3 linked regions of the Oryza sativa Japonica Group genome follow. The protein of the gene in region 3 binds, or shares a complex with, the protein of the main gene of each other region. Links are inferred from orthologs where the notes say so. Each region holds a gene or a part of one and is shown on either strand. Other genes may lie near its edges.

Region 1 (5,056 bases), on a different chromosome or scaffold from region 3:
AACTGTCGACAGTTCTATAGCTACTCCCAAGAAAGAATTTGTATGTTCCTGCTTTATGAAAGTAGAACACATATGTAATGATGCATTTGCTATCCTTTGGTGTCATTAATGAAAATGGCATATCCTGCAGAAGTAGAAAAAAAAAAGAACATCAGATGCAGTACCTGCAACAATGGCGTCACCTGATTGTGACATGTCACCGGTGAAAGGAGTAATTGGTGCATCTTCTGTGCCACGAACCCAGCCATCATGCTCTTTTGTGTAATAATGAATCTTAGAAGTGCCGTTTGTCACAAAAAGGACCTTGAGATTTTCATGCCACAATTTCGTAACAACTTCTGGGCTGTAGTGAGTGAATTTGGATTTATCATTATCCTTCGTACCAAATTTCTCAGATGGTTTAATGCCACACAAGAACTCAAGTTCCTGCTTAGTGATTTCAATAATATCAGCAGCTTCCCATGCTTCCTTGACAAGTGACTTGGTCTCCTTACTGGACGACCATAATGGCAGTGGAAGATTGAGATCAAAGAATGTTACACCACCAAATTTCTTGGAAACCTCAATTGCTTTCGACAATGATGATCGTGTCGTGGGCTCAAGCAAAGCTGAAGAATTGTAGTAAAACATCTTAGCCTGCATTAACAAACAGAAACAACTGATTTTTACATAAGATATAACACATAAGTGGACAGTATTTTCTTCAGGGATTGTAGATATCTTTGATTTACCTAATTTCAGATATGGCCTGCCCATAGGGACCTAATATTTTAAGTAGTTGCTTTTTAATGTTCATATTATTTTGAGTTTGGGAATTTTCAGACATTCAGCATTAGCAAAGATATTATCCAACAAGTTCCAGTACAGAGCAGCTTGTAGTGCCCTAACTGCTAAAAGGTTTTTTACAAAAAATTAAGATCATTATGGTACAGGTTTATGTGTCTTCTGACTAAAAAATAACCATGCTAAGTGCAAACATGTAGAAAAAGCACAGTTGTGAACTGAAAGTGTTTTATTTACTTCTTTTTCTGAACCTACCAAAGCACGGCAATGAAAACAGGTAAACCTCCCATTTGTTTATAGTACATAGTATCATTTTGACACATTCATGGTCAACTAATAGATAGCAAGTTTGAATTGATAGAAATCGAGTTGAGTAATTTCCTCTTATTATCTTTTTGGACAAGTACATTAATTTAGCAGTATAGCCCTAGTTGTTCCTTAAGTCTTTTGATATAAATATAATGACTTCTGTATTGCAAACAATGTTGCAACTGAATTATGAATTGCACATCTAAACAGTATAATATGCCATCAGCTGAAAGCAACTTCTTCACTTTAGCAAGCTCTTCTTGTGATAAAGAAAAATAGAATCTTTCTAACTGTATAAGGAACAGAATTATTCAACAAAATTTGCTTTTATGTGGTAAAATTTCCATACCAGATTAATTATAACTAACAAAACAATGTGTGACATACAAATCTTCTGATCCGTGTAGTACTCTTTCATTAACTAATCATCTCTGACAAAAGAAAATGCACCACAACATAATGATAGGTCAGCATAGTAAAATAACTTTACCATGTGAACATTTAAACAATTTATTGTTGCCACAATGTGCATGGCACAAACAAACTTTTCTCAAGACCAATCAAGTGTGCATACAGTTTATCATTAAACCATGTAGTAATAGATAATATTGTAGAGGATAAGGTGTAATCAAAATATTGTTTGATGTACTCGTCTTTACCTCTTTTAAAACAGCTGGGTTGATATCAGTTTGGACAAAACAATCCTCTGCACAAGGTTTAGCACAGCTCATTTTCAAGCTACCCCTACCTGTGACCTTCATCAAGGACATGGCAGTAAACGCTGAAGGGTCCATTTTAATTGCCCGAGTTTGAACTCCATTGACGTTCAAGTGATATAATGTACTTTGACCATAATCATCATCGCCTAGTTTTCCCATGAATTCAACCCGGCCACCAGAAGCTGCTAAAGCAAGAGCAACATTGGATGATGATCCTCCTGGTGCCCTTACAAATTGATCTGGAGACCAGAACATGTCTTTCATTCCCTCATGAATTTCATGATCTATCAGCCTATTAGCAGGTCTTCCAGAAGGAATAAATGAGTACTTAGCAGGCCCAAAGCAGCACACAAGAGGGATTAAATTGTTAATATCATTATCATCAGTATCTTCTAATAGCAATGCTGCTATTTTACTTTCTAGGTCATTTGCTGAAATTTTCTCCTGCCTGTCATTGGAGGGCACTAGATCTTCACCCAGATCTTCCCCTTCATTGTCACTCAATTCCTCTACAGTCTTAACTTTTCTTCTGCCCCTCTTCTTTGGTTCTTTTGCTTTGTCCTTCTCTTCCGATGAGCTTGCAGTAGTTGCAGCTGCAACATAGGAGAGAAGTCATGACTTGCTAAGGGTTTACGATAATTTTTTTCTTAAGTTATTGAAGGAAGTACTCTACTGAAAATATGCAAGCAAGATGTACCTTTCTTGCGGCCCCTCCTTTTTATTTTCTTAGTCCCTTCAGGGGATTCATCTTCTTCAGTGCTCACTTGACCTTCTTGTGTTTCCCCTTCTGATGCTTGTATGGTGGCTTTCTTTCTTCCACGTCTCGGAGCTCTTTTCTTGGTTTTTGATGTCTCGCCGTCACTCTCATCATCACTTGAACCTTCTGCTACATCTTGAGAGCTCTTCTTTGCCATGGAACTTACGTTTCGGTTGAGCAGCCTCATTTTAGCTTTAGGCTTAGTCATAATGTTTCCCAAGAAGTGGGGCTTATAATGTAAATGGCTCCTGCACATTACACATCGGAAGCAAGTCACTAATAACTGTTGGAATTTAAACCATAATGTAAGTAGTGATGTGTTAAAAAATAAAGAATAAGTGAATGTAAGATAGAACTAATGTTATCACACGATTCAAATATGAAGCTGCTACCATACCACGTGGGAGCATATTCAGACAAGGCTAGGTACAAGCGGTATATATATATATTTCATCGAGTACACATCACAATTTGATGACATATTGTTCATCTTGTAAGAATCAAATAGTTGTTATCAAAAAATGAAACAAAACATAGACCCAAGATCTATTGGAAATTTGGGACCAAAGAAAGATGCCACAATCTCCACTCCATGTGCTGCTCCTTTCCCTTCCCTAACCTAGGATCCATATGGTGGCGACTCAAACAATCCGAAAGAGATCGCCACACGCACTCATATCAGCTACTACCAGAAGAAGAAGAAGAAGAAGCTGCATTACACAGAAAAATGAAGCATTACATACCTGATTGAGTTGGTACTACAAGGCAGGGAGCAAAGAAACTGCGGGGGGAGAAGAAGAGAAGCCATTCGGTGCATCAATGGAGAGGAGAGGATTCCTACAAGAATCCTCGCCTACGCCTCTTCCGCCTCCCGGGAGAAGAAAATCCCTCAAACGAAGAAGCTCAGAGCTGAGCAGAGGAGCAAAAACCCCAGGGGAGAGGGGAGAAGAAGATTGATTGCTGCTGCAAACTAAAATTACATACATGCCCTTCCATCTATCTCAAGATAAGGGGCAGAAGCGTAATAAATAATCGCATGGTAGAACACGTACTTGGGGAATACGCTTCATCCATGGGTTTACGAACAGATAATAATACGCTAGCACTCTCCTCTCCTCTCCTCTTCTTCCCCCGGGAGACTCCGCCGCCGTTTATCGCCTCGGCGGCGCGGAATCCTCTCTCTTGGTTCGCAAATGGCAGCCGCACGGGGTAGCTTATAGGGATCTTCTTGGGAGTTACCCTGGTTGACTGGTCCGCTCATTCATCGAATCAACGCATCCTGCGCCGTCGCCTCGCCTGTTCTTCAATTTGCCGCCGGCGCCGGCTTCGGCTTGGCCATGGTGCTCCGGCCTCACGGGAGTTCTTGCTGAATGTTTATCATGGTATATTAATTGTTTCTTTTGTGTGACAATGTGGGAATCTAGTATTCTAGTCGAGTCCTACTGCCGTTCTTTGCAACCTTCTCCAGTTTGTGGCAATGCGTTGCGGCGCTGTCAGCGCTATGCATGTTTGTGGTGATTTGTGGTTCTTCTCCGTTTCACATTATAAGTTGTTTTATTTAGGTTTGATCAAATTTATAGAAAAATTTAGCAACATCTACAATACTAAATTAGTTTCATTAAATATATTTTGATAATACGTTTGTTTTCTATTCAAAATGTTGCTGTATTTTTTAGAAATTAGGTCAAAATTAAAAAAAAAGATTGATTAGGAAAAAAAGTCAAAATGACTTATAATATAAAACAAGGTCGTAATGGACTGTTAAAATTGCTGGTTTCCATAGCACTTTGCACGTCATATGTACCAGTAATTGTTATTCATTCAGCCATTGTTCCTTCTCATTTGCTCCGCAACACATAGTCTGTCAAGATAGAAAAATAATACTATAAATCTACTTATTCAGATAAGCTTGATTTTTTTTTTTTGAGGATTGGAACAAAATAATTGGTTGATTCCGTATTGTACTGTCTTTTTTACTTCTATTGTGTTCTTTTATTTCTGCCACGTCACACATTTAGTTTCTAAACACCCATTGCTCTTCCATTCCGGCTATCAGCTTAAGGACTGTTTTATGTTGTAAAACAGTAAAAGTACTGTTCCTTTGGTAGATTAGCCCTAAAGGAAGCTGTTTGTTCAGATACCAATTGAGAACCTTTTCTTCTGTAATATCTGCCTAAAAGGTTGACTTGTCATGAAATCTTCTTATATTCCGTAATATTTCTGTATTTTTTTCTCATGTCTGAGGTTGCCTGATACTTTGCAGGCAATGTAGAGCTGTTCAGCAACATTTTTTTTTTTCTGGACAAAAATCAAAACCCCAAAAGGGCATTCCAACCATTTAGCTAAGCATGATATATCCTATGGTATCGTGTACTAAATCCCATGTTCTCTATCAAGGATAGAGTTAAACGGCTAATTCCTGCTGCCCAATGCTACTACTTGAAAGGAAAAATGCTCAGCATTTTTGCAACAGTGTTCCCTCATGTTT
Region 2 (4,918 bases), on a different chromosome or scaffold from region 3:
CATCAACCCAGACAGGTACAGTTCTAGGAATGTTGTAATTATTATACCTCAATTGTAAGAGCTGAATTTTTTAACTGATTGTAGGCAGAAGCTTGTGGGACTCATTGACAAGCTTGATGAAGGTACACTAACATGGAATGAGTTCCAAAGTGAAGTGAAGATACATCATGAAAACAGACTTGGGGGTCCATATCAGAGGTTATCTGGTCGAAGTCCTAGGCAAGAGGAGTACTTCTACGCAAATCCCCTTCCAGGCTGCTTGTGCAAAAGAATGCAAAGGATTAAATGACGCTGATTTGTTATGAAGAGGATGTGATATTATTGTCTTCAAAAGTTCCAACCACTTCCCTGATGTAGCATGGATATACAAACACAAAATCTTCTAACAAAGAATTACACTGGTAATGGACAGGGACAGCCCACAGATAATTTTCCTAGATTAACAGTGTATGCAGCCATCATTCATAGAAAAGGAAGCAGGAGGGGCAGGTCCATTTATTATCGTCTGAGATCTGCATCTCCAGTTGATTATTTATTCAAGTATACAGGAAACGGAAGAGTAAAAAAGATTTTAAATACCAGCAAAGCATAGATGTGCCAGAAGTGATGGGATAGCTTGAAAGAATACCTTTTTTAGTGCATGTATGTAGTTCACACTTCACACACTCCATATGTACAGTCTGTCCTCTTTTTATATTTTGTATTCATCCCAAAATTGCAGCTTTATTCAGATAGGCATGTATGATGTATATAGAGAGAGCAGGATGTACCCAAGAAGAAACAAGTGATGAATGGTAAATTCTTTTTTAGTTTATTTCATTCCATTGAGTCTTTGCATTTCAAGTTTGCTTTAGGAATTTGTGCTGCCATGATGCCAACAAACATTTTATCACTAAGTTCAGTTGATTGTTTTGGATTTCTATGCTTTGCTCCATTTCATATCAATCATCCTCGATATCATAACTAAATATCATCCATGTTGCCAGTTCCTCTCAAACAGAGTACTGTTGTTCTTAATTCTTAAACACATTCCCTGTTAAGTTTCCTTGAATGTGTGAAACTAAGTCAATTTCAGAAATTGTGACTTCATTCTGATTATTTAGCTTTATCACTAACATAAATGTGTGCAGAAAAAGAAGCACCAATTTAGTGACATGGGTCAGTGGGTTAGACACTTGCATCCCTACCATGGAAGTCAATAGGTAAACATAGCTCTTCAAAACTGTAAAGCAATGGAAGCCTCCAAGTGGCAGACACATTTTTCCAACTAAAACTGAACACTGAAACAATATGGAACGGACGATAGGATGATACCTGAAAAGCCTGTAAGCTGTTTTGGTAAAACTTTTCCCTTGACCACCTCTGTTGCAGCACTCATGAAATACACTTGTATATCATGAGCATTGTTCTTTTAATCACAAATGATTACCAGTCCGCCAGTCACCACATAGAAGGCACATATACTTGCTCCTTCAAGTTCTGGGCAGCACTCTCAGTAGGGAATCCTCGCACAGCACCAATAGTCCATTGCGAAATGATTCCGGCAGCAACAGCGAATCTCAGATTCCTCTCCAATGTATCCTGGTCCTCATACATCTCAGGACAAGACGTCAATTTTCTAATAGCAGCAGCAACAACAGCATCTCCAGAACCTGTCCGGTCAGTTGTGTATGGAGTTATGAGTGCATCCTCCGTCCCAATCACGCAGCCATGAAACTTGGGTGTGTAGTAGTGGATCCTAAGTGTTCCGTATGTCACAAGCAAGAGTTTTATCCCATCATGCCAAATGGGAGCAATTTCTTCGGGGGTGTAATGGTAGTACTGTGGCCAGTTCCTTGTTAGATGAAAACCATCCAGATAATACTGAGGTGGATTGGCACGCTTATATTGATAGTACTCGTGATCAAGGAGGAATTCCAACTCATCCCTTGACACCTCTATAATATCAGCCTCATTCCATGCCTTGTTTATCAACTCCTTTGTTTCATCCCTTGACCTCCACAAAGGCAATGGCAAGTTAAGATCAAAGAATATTTTACTTCCAAATTTCTTGGACAGTTCAATTGCTCTGAAGAGTGTGCTTTCCATTGAGGGAGTCAATAGGACCTCTGAATTGAAATGGAACACTCTAGCCTGCAATTACAGCACGTTAGGTCTAAAATTCATTTTTTTTTGCTTTCCATCAAATCATAAATAAAGAAAAGACGGTCTACAATCTACTTTCACGGGCACATAAAAAATTCATCTTCTAAGGATAAACATCATATAACAGGGTAAAATTTGTTTGTCTTTTTAATCTGCAAAACTGGTTGGCTTGGCACCATTGTATGTTCAACTGAACTAATGAATAGACATAAGCAATTGTGCTCTGTAGTACACTACTCACATAGAGTCGGTGTTTTTCAATGCAACAATGTACCGCAGCTGAGCGGTGGATATCCTTGCCGAGAAATAAAAATGCAGCAATGGAGTATGCAGAAGTCACCAATTTCAATCATTTACCACAAAATCACCGACTCACCTCTTTCAAAACATCCACATTGATCTCAGCCTTGCTGAGGGAGTCCTCGGCAGCGCTCTTCACCGTCTCAGCCACAAGCCTCGTTCCGCCGCTGCCGTCCTCACGGTCCCGGAACCCGACCTTCATGCGCGCAGTGGCCGTGGCCGCGCCGTCGTCGAACCTGATGGCGCGCGTCTGCACTCGCTCGCAGTTCATGCGGTACACAAGCTCGCGGCCGAAGTCGTCGTCACCGACCTTGCCGAGCACCGCGGCGCGGCCGCCGAGCCTGGTGAGCGCGATGGCCACGTTGCTCGCCGCGCTCCCCGGCGCGCGCGCGAACTCCGGAGGCTCCCACTGCAGATGCAGCCACGTGGAGTATATGTCCGGGTGCATCTGCCGGTCCGACACCCGCACCGTCGGGACGAACTCCCACCGCGGCGCCCCGAAGCAGCACACCAGCGGCGGCCAGTCGTACGGCGAATCCTCCCCGTCTTCGGAGTCGCTCCCCGTCGCCTCCGCCTCCCCATCCTCATCTTGGACCGCTCTCTTCGAATCCTCCGTTCCGGGGCTCGCCGCCCGGACCTCATCCTCCTTCTCCGCCGCCTCCTGCTCGGCCTCTTGCTTGGATTTCCTTGTCCGACGGCCCCGCCGCTTCGGCGGCTCCTCCTCGCCCTCTGAATCAGACTCCTGCGTATTCTTCTTGGTCCTGCGCCTCGTGGTCTTCGCCTTCGGCGGCGACGGGGATGGGGACTTCCTGCGCCCGCGGCGTGGGGCGGGTTCAGGGGATTCCGGTACGGCGGCGCCGTTCGGGGAGCAGCGAATATGGCGGCCTCGGAAGATGCTGGGGTGGATGCGCGCGGCGAGGATGGTGGGCTTGGGGAATAAGGATGGCAAGATGAGGAATGGGGAGGCCGCCATGGCCATAGCCGGCTCTCTCCTTCGGTGGGAAGCCTGGTAGAAGACGAAGGTGTTCGACTCTATCCAGTTCGCGTTGAAGGGTTTAGCGACCGTTAAGGATGTCGGGTTGCGCCCGAATCCATAAACTGGGTTGCAGCCTTGCGGGTATGGATCTGAGCGCTTTGTAGGCCCAACATTGAAACGGAACGGTGCTGCACCGCTAACTAATATGGGCCAAATTCGATCTCGACGGCCAGCCTGAAGTTTAGATTTGACAGTTGCGTTGGCTCAAGTATGAGGTTGCAGTGAGCGTCTCCAATAAGTTCAGGCCGGAACAAATTTACCGTCAAGGAGCATAACTGCATAAGCTGTGTACTCTGCCCGTGACTGAACTGCAGAGTATTCTTGTGTGCATGCTTGATTCATTTTTCCGGACTACTGAAATTTTTCCCAAGATATGTCCATTATTCGTTGATCCAAACATACATCAGTACAGAACAAAGTCAAAAGGATAAAGAAATAGAGAAATAGCTAGGGCCTAGGAGTAACAAGGACACCCTGATAAAAGTACATGCGCATCAGTACATCACTAGACACCAACAATGGAGTCTCGCCGTATCACTCGACGGGGACCATGACCTCGTTGGTGCGCAGCGGAGGCAGAGTAAACGGCGGGTTGTACCGCGCCAGCACGAAGGGGCCCTTGACGGTGAACCCGTCCTTCTCCAGCGCGGCCTTGAGCCACTCCGCCTTCTCCTTCACCACCTTGTCTCCGGTCAGGCCGCTGAACCTCACCACCCCGTACTTCCTCTCCCCCACCTGCCGCAGCACCACCCGCTCGTCCGTCGGCCGCGGCGCCTCCTCCACCTTGCTGTACTTGGACGGCAGCAGAAACTGCATTGTCATCTGACCCTTCCCCTGGCTGCGCTCTTCGGCCGTGATCACCGGCGCGGTCATCGCCACCGGCTCAGGCTCACCGGAGGTGATGACCGGGGCCGTCATGGCGATACTCTCGGGCTCGCCGGAGGTGATGACCGGCGCGGTCATGTCGATCTTCTCTGGCTTGGTGTTCTGCGGGTTGCCGAGGGCGCCGATGTAGTTGCCGAGGACGGTGAACCCGCCGTCGCGGTCGCCTTTCATCTCCGCGGGGTCGTAGGTGACCTCGGCGACGACGCACGGCGGGTACTTGCGGACCTCGTAGCCGGCGCCGGTGTGGAGCACCTCGTGCTTGGGCGTCTCCACCGTGATCTTGCCCAGCACCATCCCCATGGCGGTCGACGGCCGGCGAGATCAGCGAGCAGGTGAAAATTAAGGTCGGATTCGATCTCAGCGGCGGGGGTGGGTTTGTTCTTTGTTGGATACTTGGATGAGTGATTGGCGGTGGGCTTGGCCGCTTGGAGTTTAAAGAAGCGGCGAGGAGGCGGGATGTGTGGACGAAGTGGGGAGCCTGAATCGCGGCGCGTGTTGCTCCACGTCCGCGGTGCGTTTTGTCTTCGGCTTGGCGGGCAAGTCCAGCACTCT
Region 3 (4,961 bases):
CTTAGGTAAATACTTAAATGGGTGCCTCCTTTTCTCACTTTTACCGTTTTCTAACATGTGCTAGTTGTGATTTTTGCATGCTTGTTTAGCTCTATCTTCAACTAGCTTGCTCGTGTAGAAAGTATGCTTGCATAGCCCGTTTTTTAGTTTGCTTCTTGTTAAATTGCCTAAGTTAAGTTTCATGTGTTACCCAGATTATCCTATCATGGTCAAAACGTTCGAAACGTCCGAGTCATTTACTCATTTTTCTGTCTTGCACTGACCGAGTTCGAAATGTCCGAGTCATTTACTCATTTTCCTGTCCTGGCACTAACCGAATTGTCTGATACGGTGCCAACCAAATTGTCCAACTGCATCCGTAGTCGGACCGTCACATCCGGTATCCGACTATCTCATTCGGTCTAATTATTCAAGTTTTTGAAATTTTACCCCCCCCCCCCTCTCCGAGACCCTTTTTAGTTAGGGTTTAAGATATTTGAATCATATATAGGTTGTAAAACTTGGGCTGCACTAGTCTTAAACCTTACACACTAGGTTAGTTTAACTAGATGATATCGAGCGTGTTGCTACAGAGACAGTTAAGTATTACTTAAGAGTACAGCGAGTGAGAATGAACATGAACTATCAAGATGTTGTGGGGTCATGCGTGTGCTCCTCTATAGAAGTAATTCCAGTTAGTGGATTGTAGCTATAATAGGTTTTCTTGTAATTTAATTTTAGTTGTTAGCCTCCCTCCCTAGTCATGATAATCTTGATAATCATGAGGGAAGAGCACAAAGGTGCAAAAACCGTTTTATCTTGAACTAGGAAGAATAACTGAATTATAGAGTAGCTTGTTAGTCTGAAGCACGAACCCCACATATAACATACTACATTCCACACGCAGACTCTGCGTACCAGAAGATTCAGAACCTTCCCACTAAAGATCAGAAAGCTCAAATCTATCACATCTACTAGTGGCTAAAATACTTCAAACATCAAAATCTCAACTATGTCCCTATATCCTAGCGATCACAATTCATTATCAATGATATTTCTGATCATATCAATAGGAATCAGTCCCTCAGTCCTTAGGGCGTCTTTGCTTTGATCTGGACTGAAGAAATACAGTGTTGGAAGTCCTCTTACCTGTATTTTTCACCCATGGTGAGTGTTCAGAAAACATTGTAAAAATAAGTTATAAACCAAAACAAAACTATGATTACTATTTTCTTTGCTCAGTGTGTGCAATGATGTGTATACCTGCATATCTCTTGCAAGTTCATATTCATCATCAGTATCCACCTTCACAAACAGGGCATTGTTTTCATATTCAACTGCAAGCTGACACATTATATGGCAGAAATGTTGAAATCAGTTGATAGTACAAGAGGATGCAAAAAATGAGTTTGCATTATAAGTATATATGGCACTTGGTGAAGTTACTTGAAACCTATAAGTATTACTTCCTCCGTTTCACAATATAAGTCATTCTAGCATTTCCCACATTCATATTGATGTTAATGAATCTAGATAGATATATATGTCTAGATTCATTAACATCAATATGAATGTGGAAAATGCTAGAATGACTTACATTGTGAAATGGAGGGAGTATAAAAGAATATTAGGGAAGATCTAGATACAAATGTGATGGAAACACTATTGTTGAATATATTAAATCAAAGTTTCTTCAATAAATTCAGATTGTCAAGAACACTGGGGTGGAGCTTGCAGGAAAGGCAATATTGTCTCTGACAAATTCAGAGCATACAAAGAATACCACCAGCGTAACAGCCACAAATTTCAGGGAAGATTTTGGAATGGACATAGGCATCTTGCACTGGCTATATCATTCCCTTTCGTTATTAGGCACAGACATACACGTTGGGTCTGCCATTTCTTTACTAATCTAAGTAGAGAATGGTTAAAATTGTTGTAGTCTCATTTTGGATTAGAATCTTGATAAGTAAGTGCTTAATTAACAAGACTAGAGTATTCATGGCACATGACACCTACTAACACCCCAGTTCAGTTTGGTGCTAGCTAGACATTCAGAGACCCTAAATCATACAAATGTTTTCAAAATCATGTGAAGCTTTAAACACTCCCTAAATCAGTTTAATGTATGTTTTCAAACATATGTGAAGATTGTTTTTTTCTTTTTCTTATGGGTGTTTCCTCTTTCATTGCTAGTAATAACTCTACGTGGGAAGGGTGCGCAAACTTGTAATTGGTCAGAGAGTGTTGCCCAACGTTAGAGAGAAGCAAACACTAAACGGGGAATGTAAGATTTGCAGGGCACATATTACCATCTCGATGTCCTGGGCCATGAGGACGCAGGGTCCGCACCACGTCGCGTAGAAATCCACGATGAGGGGCACCTTCCTCTCCCCCCTCACCAGCTCCTCCAGTTCCTTGGCCGTCACCTTCTTCTGCAACCATGAAAGGAGGAAGGAAAGATATATCCCGTTTCAGATACCCAAGTAGGACTCGATCGAGCAGACTCCTCGAACGTAGCCAGGCTCACTGCCAAATGCGAGTCGAGCCTTGCAGGATCGTACCACGAGGTAGTCCGGGGCGATGTACTTGCCGGAGCCTGGGACGTAGGTCTCGGCTGCGGCATTCCGTCGAACGCCTTGCGCGCGACACCCACCGAGGATGACGCCGAGGCCGACGCCGCGGCAGCGGGAGCCGCCATCGCAGGAGAGGGAGGCCGTCGGGGTGGAGTTGCGGGGCGGGCGGAAGGCGCGTCCGGGGAGGGTTGGGGCGGCGCTCGCCGGCAGGAGGGAGGCGGCCGCGGCCATGGCCATGGCTGGGGGGAGCGAGTGTGGGAGAGATAATCCTATCCTGTCTCTGCCTCGCGAGCTGTCGCTACTCTACTCGAGTAAAAAAGGCGAGTTGCCTGTGAGTGATGATGTGAGGGGTAAAAGCCTTAAACATTTGGTTTTCGCTAAATATCTGTCTTGAATAAATCCTGAACTTTACCTAAAAAAACTACAATCACTTCTCCATCCATCTACTTTCATCCATCTATTTTTGATAGTTATATTTCTAAATCTAAAAATTTTATTTTTGATAAGCATATTTCAATCCAACAACTTATCCTCTTAATGACTTTTTTCGGATTTAATGCGTGACTCTTATTTTTCCATACAAGATTGGATACATGAGTATCGAGAAATATAAATATTAATAAATCGCTTGTTTACGAGGAATGACTAGTAACATGTTTAAATGAATGAGAAGTAGAATTACTTATCCTTGGTCTGTGTACCAAGATAAAATATGATTATCAAAAGTATATGAAAAGAGTACAAAATTCTTTCAAAGTGAACAAACATTTAGACAACATCATAAATACTGAATAAAAACCAATACATAGAAAGAAAGCAATTATTGAATCTTCATCCATATATGGCAAAAATCTACGTGACGGTAAGTTCTAAGTTTTAACATGTAGAATATATGAGCTCCTTGTTTTCTTCGCATTTTTTAAGCTATGTCCAGAACCATAAGAGCACCCGCAATGGTAAAGTAAGATACTATCTATAAAACATTGTCCATATTAGCAATAGACTAGATTAATAGTAAACCACTTCAATGATGTCTACATGGGTATCTATAGCTCTCTAATCCATTGCCTCGTCTTTCTCTATAGACTATCTCCAGGTTAGTAGATAGCTTTACTCTCTCTCTCTTCATTTAATCTCTTCCAAGTAGAAAAATATGCTGATATGGATCTCGTGTAAAGAGTCTATAGATAACCATTGCGGATGCCCTAATACAGTACCCACACATTCACACGAATCTTAAGGCCATCATAGAGCAATAATATAGGACCCGCAATGCTACAACATACATGTCTTTTCGTAATCTTAAGCTAAACCCATGAATAAAAAAGACTATTCACCCAAGAATCAAAGGGTAAATTTATGTTGGAAATGCATAAAATATTTTTCATGGTTGTCCACCATAACAATATTCCCTCCTTATCATAGTAAAAAAAAAAAAAAGGGATCGGTGGTCGACCCACTCTGACCGTTCGATTCACCGATCAAACCGTCGGGTCACCGGTCGAACCACCGGTTTTTAATTTATTAATATTATATTTGTTTTGCATTATTTTTAATATAGAACCATCACAAATTGATGAAATATGCATAAATAAACCAGTATATCTATTATTATATGACCACAACATAAAAAAAATAAATGTAGTGTAACTTAACAAACCCATAATGTCATACTGCCATATGACAAATTAAAAACAACTCGATTCTAAAAAAACCACCGCCGAGGTTCACCAGTTCAAATAAAACCTACCGGTTCACCGATTTTTTACCCGTTCGATTGCAGGGATAGTCTTTGAGCTGAACTGAGCTGCCAAGGTCACTGGCTCCAGTTTTTTCCGGTTCAACCACCGGCCAGGTCCCCTTTTTTTACTATGCTCCTTGCTATTCTCCCAGTATATGAAGGTGGAATAAATAATGAGGTTGTCTACGACCCATCGTTCCTTATCGAACGCCAAATCTTCTATTCTACTCCCTCTGTCCCTAAATATAAGAGATTTTGATAGGATGTGACACATCCTAGTATAACGAATCTGAACAAATTTCTATCCTAGTACAACGAATCTGAGCAAAAGTCTATTCAGATTCATTGTACTAGGATGTGTCACATTCCACCAAAATCCCTTATATTTAGGGACGGAGGGAATACTTAATTAATTTGTGCTGAAAACAAAGCACCAAGAATAGGTCTGTTCAGATCTTCAAATTGAAATTCAGTTTACAATTATTATGTTCTTAAGCGAAAGTAAAATAGCCATGAGAACCAAGCAAATAACACTGGGACCAAACACCTATCCTGAAAAACGGATGCCATGTCTGTATCGTTCATAAATCAGGCTTTCATTGAGAACACACAACTTGGGATTCACTTTCCAAACACATTGTTAACTCAGATTTGTGCTACCAATG

What was found.
Region 1: the proteins of thioredoxin-like protein CITRX, chloroplastic (region 3) and fructokinase-like 2, chloroplastic are in contact, whole or in part, in a cryo-EM structure (PDB 8XZV), measured with the Spinacia oleracea proteins. The link is inferred for Oryza sativa Japonica Group from reciprocal best matches to the Arabidopsis thaliana genes TRX z and FLN2. Residues at the interface, in XP_021862427.2 of Spinacia oleracea: Tyr73, Lys77, Ile83, Thr84, Val87, Arg88, Phe99, Tyr100, Thr102, Trp103, Gly105, Pro106, Ile108, Leu109, Gln112, Asp131, Asp133, Tyr136, Phe138, Ala139, Arg140, Asp141, Met142, Gln143, Val144, Arg145, Gly146, Leu147, Pro148, Tyr151; in XP_021858068.1 of Spinacia oleracea: Gln218, His219, Ala220, Phe221, Val222, Pro223, Ser224, Gly225, Arg226, Pro227, Ala228, Arg230, Leu231, Ile232, His234, Gln235, Ile236, His237, Leu240, Lys241, Ala243, Phe250, Ile251, Asp282, Tyr283, Thr286, Trp308, Ala310, Met311, Ser312.
Region 2: the proteins of thioredoxin-like protein CITRX, chloroplastic (region 3) and fructokinase-like 1, chloroplastic are in contact, whole or in part, in a cryo-EM structure (PDB 8XZV), measured with the Spinacia oleracea proteins. The link is inferred for Oryza sativa Japonica Group from reciprocal best matches to the Arabidopsis thaliana genes TRX z and FLN1. Residues at the interface, in XP_021862427.2 of Spinacia oleracea: Tyr73, Val75, Lys77, Ile83, Thr84, Val87, Arg88, Tyr100, Ala101, Thr102, Trp103, Cys104, Gly105, Pro106, Cys107, Ile108, Ala111, Gln112, Lys129, Asp131, Thr132, Asp133, Asp134, Tyr136, Phe138, Arg140, Asp141, Met142, Gln143, Val144; in XP_021865197.1 of Spinacia oleracea: Gln111, Lys112, Glu113, Phe114, Val115, Pro116, Ser117, Val118, Arg119, Val120, Ser121, His123, Gln124, Met125, Asp126, Pro127, Asp128, Ile129, Tyr130, Trp133, Met136, Gln137, Pro141, Phe143, Asp175, Phe176, Lys201, Ala203, Cys204, Ser205.

The regions. Positions count from the first base shown.
Region 1 is NC_089037.1:23,405,135-23,410,190, reverse strand, and holds the start of fructokinase-like 2, chloroplastic, read right to left. Parts: upstream 3,492-5,056; 5' UTR 3,386-3,491; coding exon 3,312-3,385; intron 2,817-3,311; coding exon 2,509-2,816; intron 2,405-2,508; coding exon 1,752-2,404; intron 637-1,751; coding exon 165-636; intron 1-164. UniProt on the Arabidopsis thaliana protein: Required for proper chloroplast development, most likely through regulating plastid-encoded polymerase (PEP) dependent chloroplast transcription.
Region 2 is NC_089035.1:37,265,282-37,270,199, reverse strand, and holds fructokinase-like 1, chloroplastic, read right to left. Parts: upstream 3,474-4,918; 5' UTR 3,425-3,473; coding exon 2,522-3,424; intron 2,134-2,521; coding exon 1,441-2,133; 3' UTR 1,192-1,440; downstream 1-1,191. Other genes in the region: O-fucosyltransferase 19, read left to right, coding at 1-15, 85-289; heme-binding-like protein At3g10130, chloroplastic, read right to left, coding at 4,016-4,666. UniProt on the Arabidopsis thaliana protein: Required for proper chloroplast development, most likely through regulating plastid-encoded polymerase (PEP) dependent chloroplast transcription.
Region 3 is NC_089042.1:17,953,233-17,958,193, forward strand, and holds thioredoxin-like protein CITRX, chloroplastic, read right to left. Parts: upstream 2,879-4,961; 5' UTR 2,793-2,878; coding exon 2,544-2,792; intron 2,415-2,543; coding exon 2,292-2,414; intron 1,324-2,291; coding exon 1,243-1,323; intron 1,129-1,242; coding exon 1,012-1,128; 3' UTR 815-1,011; downstream 1-814. UniProt on the Arabidopsis thaliana protein: Thiol-disulfide oxidoreductase that plays a role in proper chloroplast development, most likely through regulating plastid-encoded polymerase (PEP) dependent chloroplast transcription.